2 linked regions of the Drosophila melanogaster genome follow. The protein of the gene in region 1 purifies or fractionates together with the protein of each later gene. This does not show direct contact. Each region holds a gene or a part of one and is shown in the gene's direction. Other genes may lie near its edges.

Region 1 (3,929 bases):
CTTTAGGCACGAGCAGGGAAGGGCGGAAAACAGGACCGAATTTATTCAGCTGTGCAAGGAAAGGCACTCGGGAAATGTGCACGGCGCCTGATGATGAAAGCTGTAGCAAATATTACAATAAATAAGTCGAGGAAATCAGCACAATCCGAGATGAAATCCAAATGTGCAACTCGATACCACCGGAAAATGAACGCATTGAATCGCTGCAAAATTCCCAGGTGATTGCGGCGGGCTGATTCGGTCAGAGCCACGATTTTGGCATTAAACGTTGAAGAGTTCATAAATATAGGCAGGCTATTTGGTCAGTACTCACCGGCTGGCTTGAGACCGAACTGGAACAGATTACCCACGAAGGGGTATGGCGTGGGTCCTGGGATCATCTCCATGATGCCAGCCATGTGGTCTATGTAGTTGAATATCCTCACTCCCTTGAACACCAAAATGGTGGCCAAAATAATGGCAATGGCTATTAGAAACATGATGCCGCCCAACTGTTCTCGCTCGCAATGCCGCACAGACTGTGGTTTGCCGTAACATTCGCAGATTAGTCGGTGACCAATTTTCGCCCGATTATGCCTTCGATAGCTTATCTGAACTTTATGCATTTTATTTTTTGTTTGTTGCTTGCAATCGATGTACTATTAACATAGTACTTTATTGCCGTCGGTAATTGATAAATATAACTATTGTGGACTACCTAGTGGGAATTGACTCACTAAACTGATGACGTGTAGGTCTAAAGGCCTTTTGGTATCGCCAGAAGATTTGGGGCCAATAAACGATTGTTAGTCGCTTCGTGATAATGAATTAGGGCGGTAGCCATAATTTTTGACACGCAATAATTATTAATAGGGACACTTTTGATTGAGGGATTAACAACGGCACGATAAGCTGTTTGTTCAACATAGTAAACACAAAATAGATAACTTTTGGAAAAGCAATCAAATTGAAAAGGTGTGTGGTAAAAAGATTGATATTAACAACTAAATACATATAAATTTAAAAAAAAATTTGATTGGTGTTTATATTTATATTTATACTTACCAGACGATCATGACTTTTCAATTTATTAATGCATTTAAAAAAATTTTAATATTAATAAGGAATTTTAATAGCTACACAGCATTGAATTTTAAAACGAATAAGTTTAAATAGTTTTTTTTTTTCAAAATAGGACAAAAAATTAAGAATTACCATATACATAAGTATAAACATTTCTTAAGTTCGTACAACTACAGAACTTATCATTTAATTGTGTATATATATATGTACATATAGCAGTCGCATTCGCACACACTCCTAGTGCGATTAGTCACTAGGTGGAATGCCGTCCAAAGTAATTTATTTGCTTTAGCAAATATAAATATAACATATATATATATAATGTAATTATACATAACAGCGTTTTCTTGAAAAATATATAGCATTGTGCTGATAACGGAAGAACAACGAACAGAATAATGCCGCTTTTTAACATTTTCTTCTCTTCCACTAGATTTATCTTCAAAGCTATTCATTTTGATGTAAATTCACAAATTAACTCGTTTCCGAAAGCATATTTTTACGAAAGAATGCATTTCCCATATGCTTTTATAATGCTTTTATCATACTACAAGTCATGATGCAGAGACAATGTAAAAAATTGGATTTCTTTTAAAACGTTTTTCGTGTTTGGCTTAAGTTCGAATTTTGCAGCGAGAATATAAAGTATATATATTCTTGATCAGTATCATGTTTTATTGACTGATATTATATCGATATAGCCATGTGCGTCTCTCAGTTCTAAAACTATCTCTATAAAACTCTTCCAAAAAGATTGCTTCTATTTACATATGTAACTCAAAACGTGACGGAGCGGAACAGAATAATCGAAAAATAAACGCACACTGTGCTGATATCATTTCTTAAATGTAAATGTAAATTTAAATTTGCAGTGGATTTTACCTTACGTCTGTGATTTCTACCAAATTTAAGTCTTGCTGCTGATAAGCTAAGAAGAGCAAGCGACTTTCTCTCTCTTCTCTTCAATTTCTGTAAGAGTAATCTTAAAAACATTTTGCAAACATAATGTGTTCATCAATTCTCCCGATTTCTCTTTCTTGTTGTGAGCGAATGTTTATCAACGTTTTGTTTTATTCCATTTTTTGCTGCCATAAAACAATATATACTGGATACAGTTTTAAAAAAAGTTAACTGTTACACATTTAAGCGCAGTCTCGAAAACTATTGGTTCTCCATCTCATCTAACGATTAATCAGGGGGCTCATCTTAAAAAACCTGATATTGATTCGGCAAGTCATGCTGAAAGCACCAAAATATATACTTATATTCGGGAGACTACAGTTGGATTAGGAAAACGGCAGATAAGGGAGCAAGCGACTGGGGAGCTGGCTGATATTGGTATCTCTCGTATTTAAACCGCCCGCCGGCCCAAATAAGCTCTCATATTTCCAGTGATTCGCGGGCTGGACGGTTGTCGTGGAACTCGCGATCGAAAATGTGGTTCGTGTTGTATATTTTTCTGGCCCTACCACTGCTGCTGGTTGCATATCTGGAGTTGAGCACATTCCGCCGGAGAAGAGTGCTTAACAAGTTCAACGGCCCCCGCGGCCTGCCGCTGATGGGAAACGCTCATCAAATGGGCAAGAATCCGTCAGGTGGGTTTTTCATAGGAGCCGGAAAAGTCGTAGCGTTAGCCACGCAGAGGACACACCTGAAATTACCCATCTCGAATAGCGTTGTGACTGAGGTAACTGCGCATCGAATCTACTCAGCGGCGAGGCTATTCAAGTAAGGTTATTTTGGGCCAGCGACTTTACGACCGGAAAACAAGGGTGTTAACTATCAGATAATGGGGCTACTGGCACTTGTAGAAATGGGCTAATCGTAGCCTAGGTCGAGTATCGCAAAAATAATGACGAGGCTTTGATTTGTGTTGTGTAATATACGATGTATGTATGTATGTATTATACTGCACTAATGAATACTGAAAATCGCGTGCCAAAAACAAGCAATGATTATCTACGGAATACCGATATTGGTACGCGATCCGCCTACTAATGGCATTTTCTCACGTCTATATAGAAATACTCGACACGGTTTTCTCCTGGTGGCATCAGTATGGAAAAGACAACTTCGTCTTTTGGATTGGAACGTATTCTAATGTATTGGTCACCAGCTCCAAGTACCTTGAAGTGAGTTACAGCGAATTTCCACCAATCATGTAATCATGTGACTCTATTATTTTCGTACTTCTTCAGTTCATACTCAGCAGTCAGACGCTGATCACAAAGTCCGACATTTATCAACTAACACACCCTTGGCTGGGATTAGGTCTCCTCACCAGTACTGGCAGCAAATGGCATAAACACCGCAAGATGATCACCCCAGCATTCCACTTCAACATCCTGCAGGACTTCCACGAGGTGATGAACGAGAACTCCACCAAGTTTATCAAGCACTTAAAGACAGTTGCTGCCGGGGACAATATATTCGACTTCCAAGAACAGGCCCACTATTTGACCCTGGATGTCATTTGCGACACAGCGATGGGTGTGTCCATCAATGCCATGGAAAACCGCAGCTCTTCCATTGTGCAGGCCTTCAAAGAGTTAGTTTCGTACCTCGTAGTCGAACTATCAGATTGCATGACTCTTGATCCTTTTCAGCATGTGCTACAACATCAACATGAGAGCCTTCCACCCGCTGAAGCGCAATGAACTGCTGTATCGTTTGGCTCCGGACTACCCGGCCTATAGCAGGACTCTAAAAACACTGCAGGACTTTACCAACGAGATCATCGCTAAGCGCATTGAAGCCCACAAATCGGGTGCAGTTTCGACCAACGCGGGAGATGAGTTCACTCGCAAGAAAATGGCCTTTTTAGACACTCTGCTGTCCTCCACTATTGATGGTCGTCCCCTGAACTC
Region 2 (3,929 bases), on another chromosome or scaffold:
AAGGAGGATGTGCAGAGGGCGTGGCAGCAGGTTGCCAACGATATCAAGGACACGGGTAAAAAGGCGGTAAAAAATAAATCGGCAAAAGGCAACGGCGATTTTCCGCCTCAAGCTGCTGCTTCTTCCTCTTCTTCTTCTTCGCCGCCAATTGCGTGCTCATTTCACTGTCCGTGTGCGCGCGCGCCTGTGTGTGTGTGTGTGTGTCTGTGCGTGTGTGTGTCTATGATGCAAGCTTTCGCGAATTGGTGTGCGAAACGAATGCACTTGTTGTTGTTTTCCATTTGCCTGGCTTTGCATTGGTGTAGGTGTGTCACTGTGTCGCGCAGTTTTTGCCTGCAATTTGTTGCTGCTTTTGCGTTTCGCTTTTCGTTTACTGTTGCTGCACTCAGCCAAGGTGCACTGGAAAAAAACCAAGTACTATTCGTACAACTAAATTCCCATAATAAATTCAAAATAAATACAAAATAAAAGTATTTAAACTACAAAATATTCCATGTTACAAACAAGTATAAATCCAAGAATTGAGTTTGATGTGCAAATCAACTCAGTACTGTGGTTACCTTTTGGTGAACAAGTTTCAATTTGTACCGTAGAAATTTGTACTGTAAAAGATGTGTTTTGTTTCTCCTGCAGTTCGCAACTGTCGCGAGCGATGGCGCACCATAAGGAGCAGCTTCCTGCGATCCCTGAAGCTGGCACGCACACAAACGGGACGCGGCAAGCGCAAATACTACCTATCGAAGTATCTTCAGTTTCTCGTTCCGTTCACCAAGTCGCGATCCTGCCACAAGCAGCTGCCGGGCATGGTGCTCCGCAAACCCGGCCAAGCTGCCACTGCTCAGCAGGAAGATGAGGTGGTGGCGGCGGAGGAGGAGGCCAAGGTGAGCGATGGTGAGATGCCGCTGGACGTTCAGGTGTCCGAGGAGGAGCATCGTCGTAATCAGGAACAGGATCGGGAGCAACCCACCGCCTGTTTGCCGCTCCGCCTGCATTCCATCAAAGTGGAGCACGATTCGTCAAATGCGAACCAGCAGCTGGAGCGGATGGTGAGCCAGCAGTCGCTGGTCTCGGTGCCCGCCGCCGCGCTGGGCAATCACCTGGGCTGGTCGGATCTGACGCAGTGGTTCAAGGGACATGGCAGCGGTCATCACAAGTTAACCACAACAACAACAACACCAACATCACCACCACCGCCGCCGCAGCCGGCTACGTCAGCTCTAAGTGTTTTCACTGGCGGACCAGGAGGAGGTGGCTCACAACCGGATGCCGACTACTCCTTTCTGATCAGCCTGCATCCGTACATCAAGGAGATGAACGGCAAGCAGAATCGAAAGTTTCGACAGAAGGTCGTCGGACTCATCGACGATATTCTGGATAACAAGGATGTCTAATTTGTACACGGAAAAAAAACCGAAGATGCTTACGTTTCAGCGATGAAAATTACGATTTGTAAACGGCTCTATCAAAATTACCACACACAAGAGATGCATATTTTGAATGATTGTGCGGAAATATTCTACATACCAAATGCAACATTATTTCAAAACCAACATTTTCACCACTTTCAGATTTCATTCTGGCCATCATATTGCTAACTTTTAGACAATGAACTTAGTTTTTAAATATTTATGTCTAAGTTAAGTGTGAACGTACATGAAATTTATATCGAAGTTTATATGCACTGCATCGAAATTTGTAAAGCGCCCAGTGGAACAGGATGAAATCACCAGTTATGTGATATTTTCTCTCCGTGAAGAAAAAAAGCCACAAGAATCGAAGAAAACACACCCAGTTGATAGAAAACGCCAACAGTGCCCATTTATTAGATGTGTAGAGCGTACTTTAATTACGCTTTTTATTGTTGTTGTTAAGCACACACACAAACACGAATTTGTTATTGTCGAATAAAACATTTAAACTACGAACATTTTATTTTACTTCAGACGGAACAGAAACAAAATTTGCGTATATATGTCGCATTTGCTGGCGATATGCGAAATTGCGGATTAAAATCAAAACGAAACTTTCAAAATTATTTAATGTATAAATTTCTAGCTTTTTTTTTGAATTTCTAGCTAGCCAACCGCCTTAATCGAGTGCAATCGATAGATTCAGCGCACAGCTGATGCACCGATAGTACGCAAAGCTTCCTGGCTTTGTTGTTGTTGTTGTCGCCGTTCGCTTGTTGTTGCACTAAAAAGACGAAAAAAGGAAGGAAAATCACTGGCGCGGAATAACAATTAACAAAATGGAATAATTGCATTGCTGTCGCCGTAACTCATCAGTTAAATGTGCGCCAGTAAACAGTCGATGCAGCAACGAAACACATGAGCTATTGGGTGAGCTATGCGCGTGTGTGCGTGCGCCATGTGTTTGGCCTGCATGCGTGTGTGTGCGTGTGCGTGTGAGGGCCTGAGGTTTTGGCTTTATATCACTTTTTTTTTGTTTTTGCTGACTTTTCCGATACGAAAGTGATGTAATTTTTGGCTGGCCACAAATAAGCCAACTCACTCGCACGTCAACCGCCGAAGCATTTACCACGCTCATCGCACAGTTAAAGTTTGTTTATGGGCCTAGAAAATTACATAAAGTAAATACTTACACACACACACACACACGCAAAAAAAAGATATTTTTCGGCGAAAGTTTTTTTTATGTTTTATTTATTGAGTGCTAATAGTTGCTCTTTTGACTTTAACAGCGTGTGACGTCATCGTTTTTGCTAGCCAGGGCACGGCCACGCCTCCCACAAACATTACGCCCACTGAGCACCATGAACGAATGCCGGAAGAACATCACAAACATCACAAACATTACAGCGAACAACAGCATTCTATGCGCAAAGAGCATTAGCAAAAAGCATTTGTTTCTAGAGAAACGGAGCATGTCGGATCGTTCGGAGAACTCCAAGGATGTGGCAAAGGGACAGGATATATCAAATCCAATGGAACTAACAGCCGAGGATCGACTGGCCATTGAGGAGCGGCAAAATAAAGCGTTCGCCTTCTTCGCCGAAACCCTGCAAATCTACGGCGTCGAGGAGCTAATTTTCTGTTTCAACGGCGGCAAGGATTGCACCGTGCTGCTCGATCTCCTTATGCGTTACCTGCGCCAGGAGAACATCTCCAGCGGCGACATTCCCATGCTGTACATTAAATCCGGCGATTCGTTTCCGGAAATCGATGAGTTCGTCGAGCGTTGCGTACGCAACTACCGCGTCCAGTTGGTTCAGTACGAGGGTACGCTCAAGGAGGCACTCACCCACATGTCGTCGGACATGCCGCGGATCAAGGCCGTCTTCGTGGGCAGCCGCAACACGGATCCCTACTGCCAGCATCTGGCGCCCATGCAGGTGAAGCTGGTTAGGAATATAGCAATCAGGAGATAAATCATATTTAAATGTTTTGCACTGAAATGCTCAGGAGTTCGTAGGTTCAAGTGTGAAGAAAAGTTTCTTTCTCAAGAGTAGTAGATTGATTATAAAGCCAAGTTATCAAAGTCACAGCCTTAGTATCAAAATTATGCCATTGTTAATCTAGAAAAGTATGTGCCCTTTGCCAATATCACAGTGACAGTGGCATTTTCGAATGTCATGATTCCATTCCGCAGATAAGCGAGTTCTGTGGTTCACCACCTAACATAGAATTTATTCGAGTATTTTACAAAACCAAATGTATCCCGCTTATTTGAAAATCTCACAAGATCACAAAGATAATAATGAAGCTAGCTTGAAATAGTTTTGGAAAGTTCGAAACTGCTGTTTCCTATTAGGAAACCCCAAGTGCCTAGTGATGCTAATTTCGATTTTTTTTTTAGCCCACGGACAACGACTGGCCGCCGATGATGCGCCTGAATCCGCTGCTGGAGTGGAGCTACCACGACGTCTGGCACTACATCCACTTGAACTCGGTGCCCTATTGCAGCCTGTA

The links.
Region 2: the proteins of Cyp4e2 (region 1) and Flad1 purify together in Drosophila melanogaster (affinity purification with mass spectrometry, with the first as the bait; one large-scale study listed by BioGRID). This does not show direct contact.

Annotation. Positions count from the first base shown.
Region 1 is NT_033778.4:8,442,274-8,446,202, forward strand, and holds the start of Cyp4e2 (cytochrome P450 4e2), read left to right. Parts: upstream 1-2,286; 5' UTR 2,287-2,400; intron 2,401-2,437; exon of another isoform or gene 2,438-2,454; 5' UTR 2,455-2,497; coding exon 2,498-2,657; intron 2,658-2,708; exon of another isoform or gene 2,709-2,808; intron 2,809-3,084; coding exon 3,085-3,194; intron 3,195-3,260; coding exon 3,261-3,610; intron 3,611-3,668; coding exon 3,669-3,929. Other genes in the region: Cyp4ad1 (cytochrome P450 4ad1), read right to left, coding at 314-479. UniProt on the Drosophila melanogaster protein: May be involved in the metabolism of insect hormones and in the breakdown of synthetic insecticides.
Region 2 is NC_004354.4:12,901,739-12,905,667, reverse strand, and holds the start of Flad1 (flavin adenine dinucleotide synthetase 1), read left to right. Parts: upstream 1-2,151; 5' UTR 2,152-2,327; coding exon 2,328-2,339; intron 2,340-2,505; exon of another isoform or gene 2,506-2,590; intron 2,591-2,701; coding exon 2,702-3,352; intron 3,353-3,816; coding exon 3,817-3,929. Other genes in the region: CG4404 (uncharacterized protein), read left to right, coding at 1-55, 634-1,391.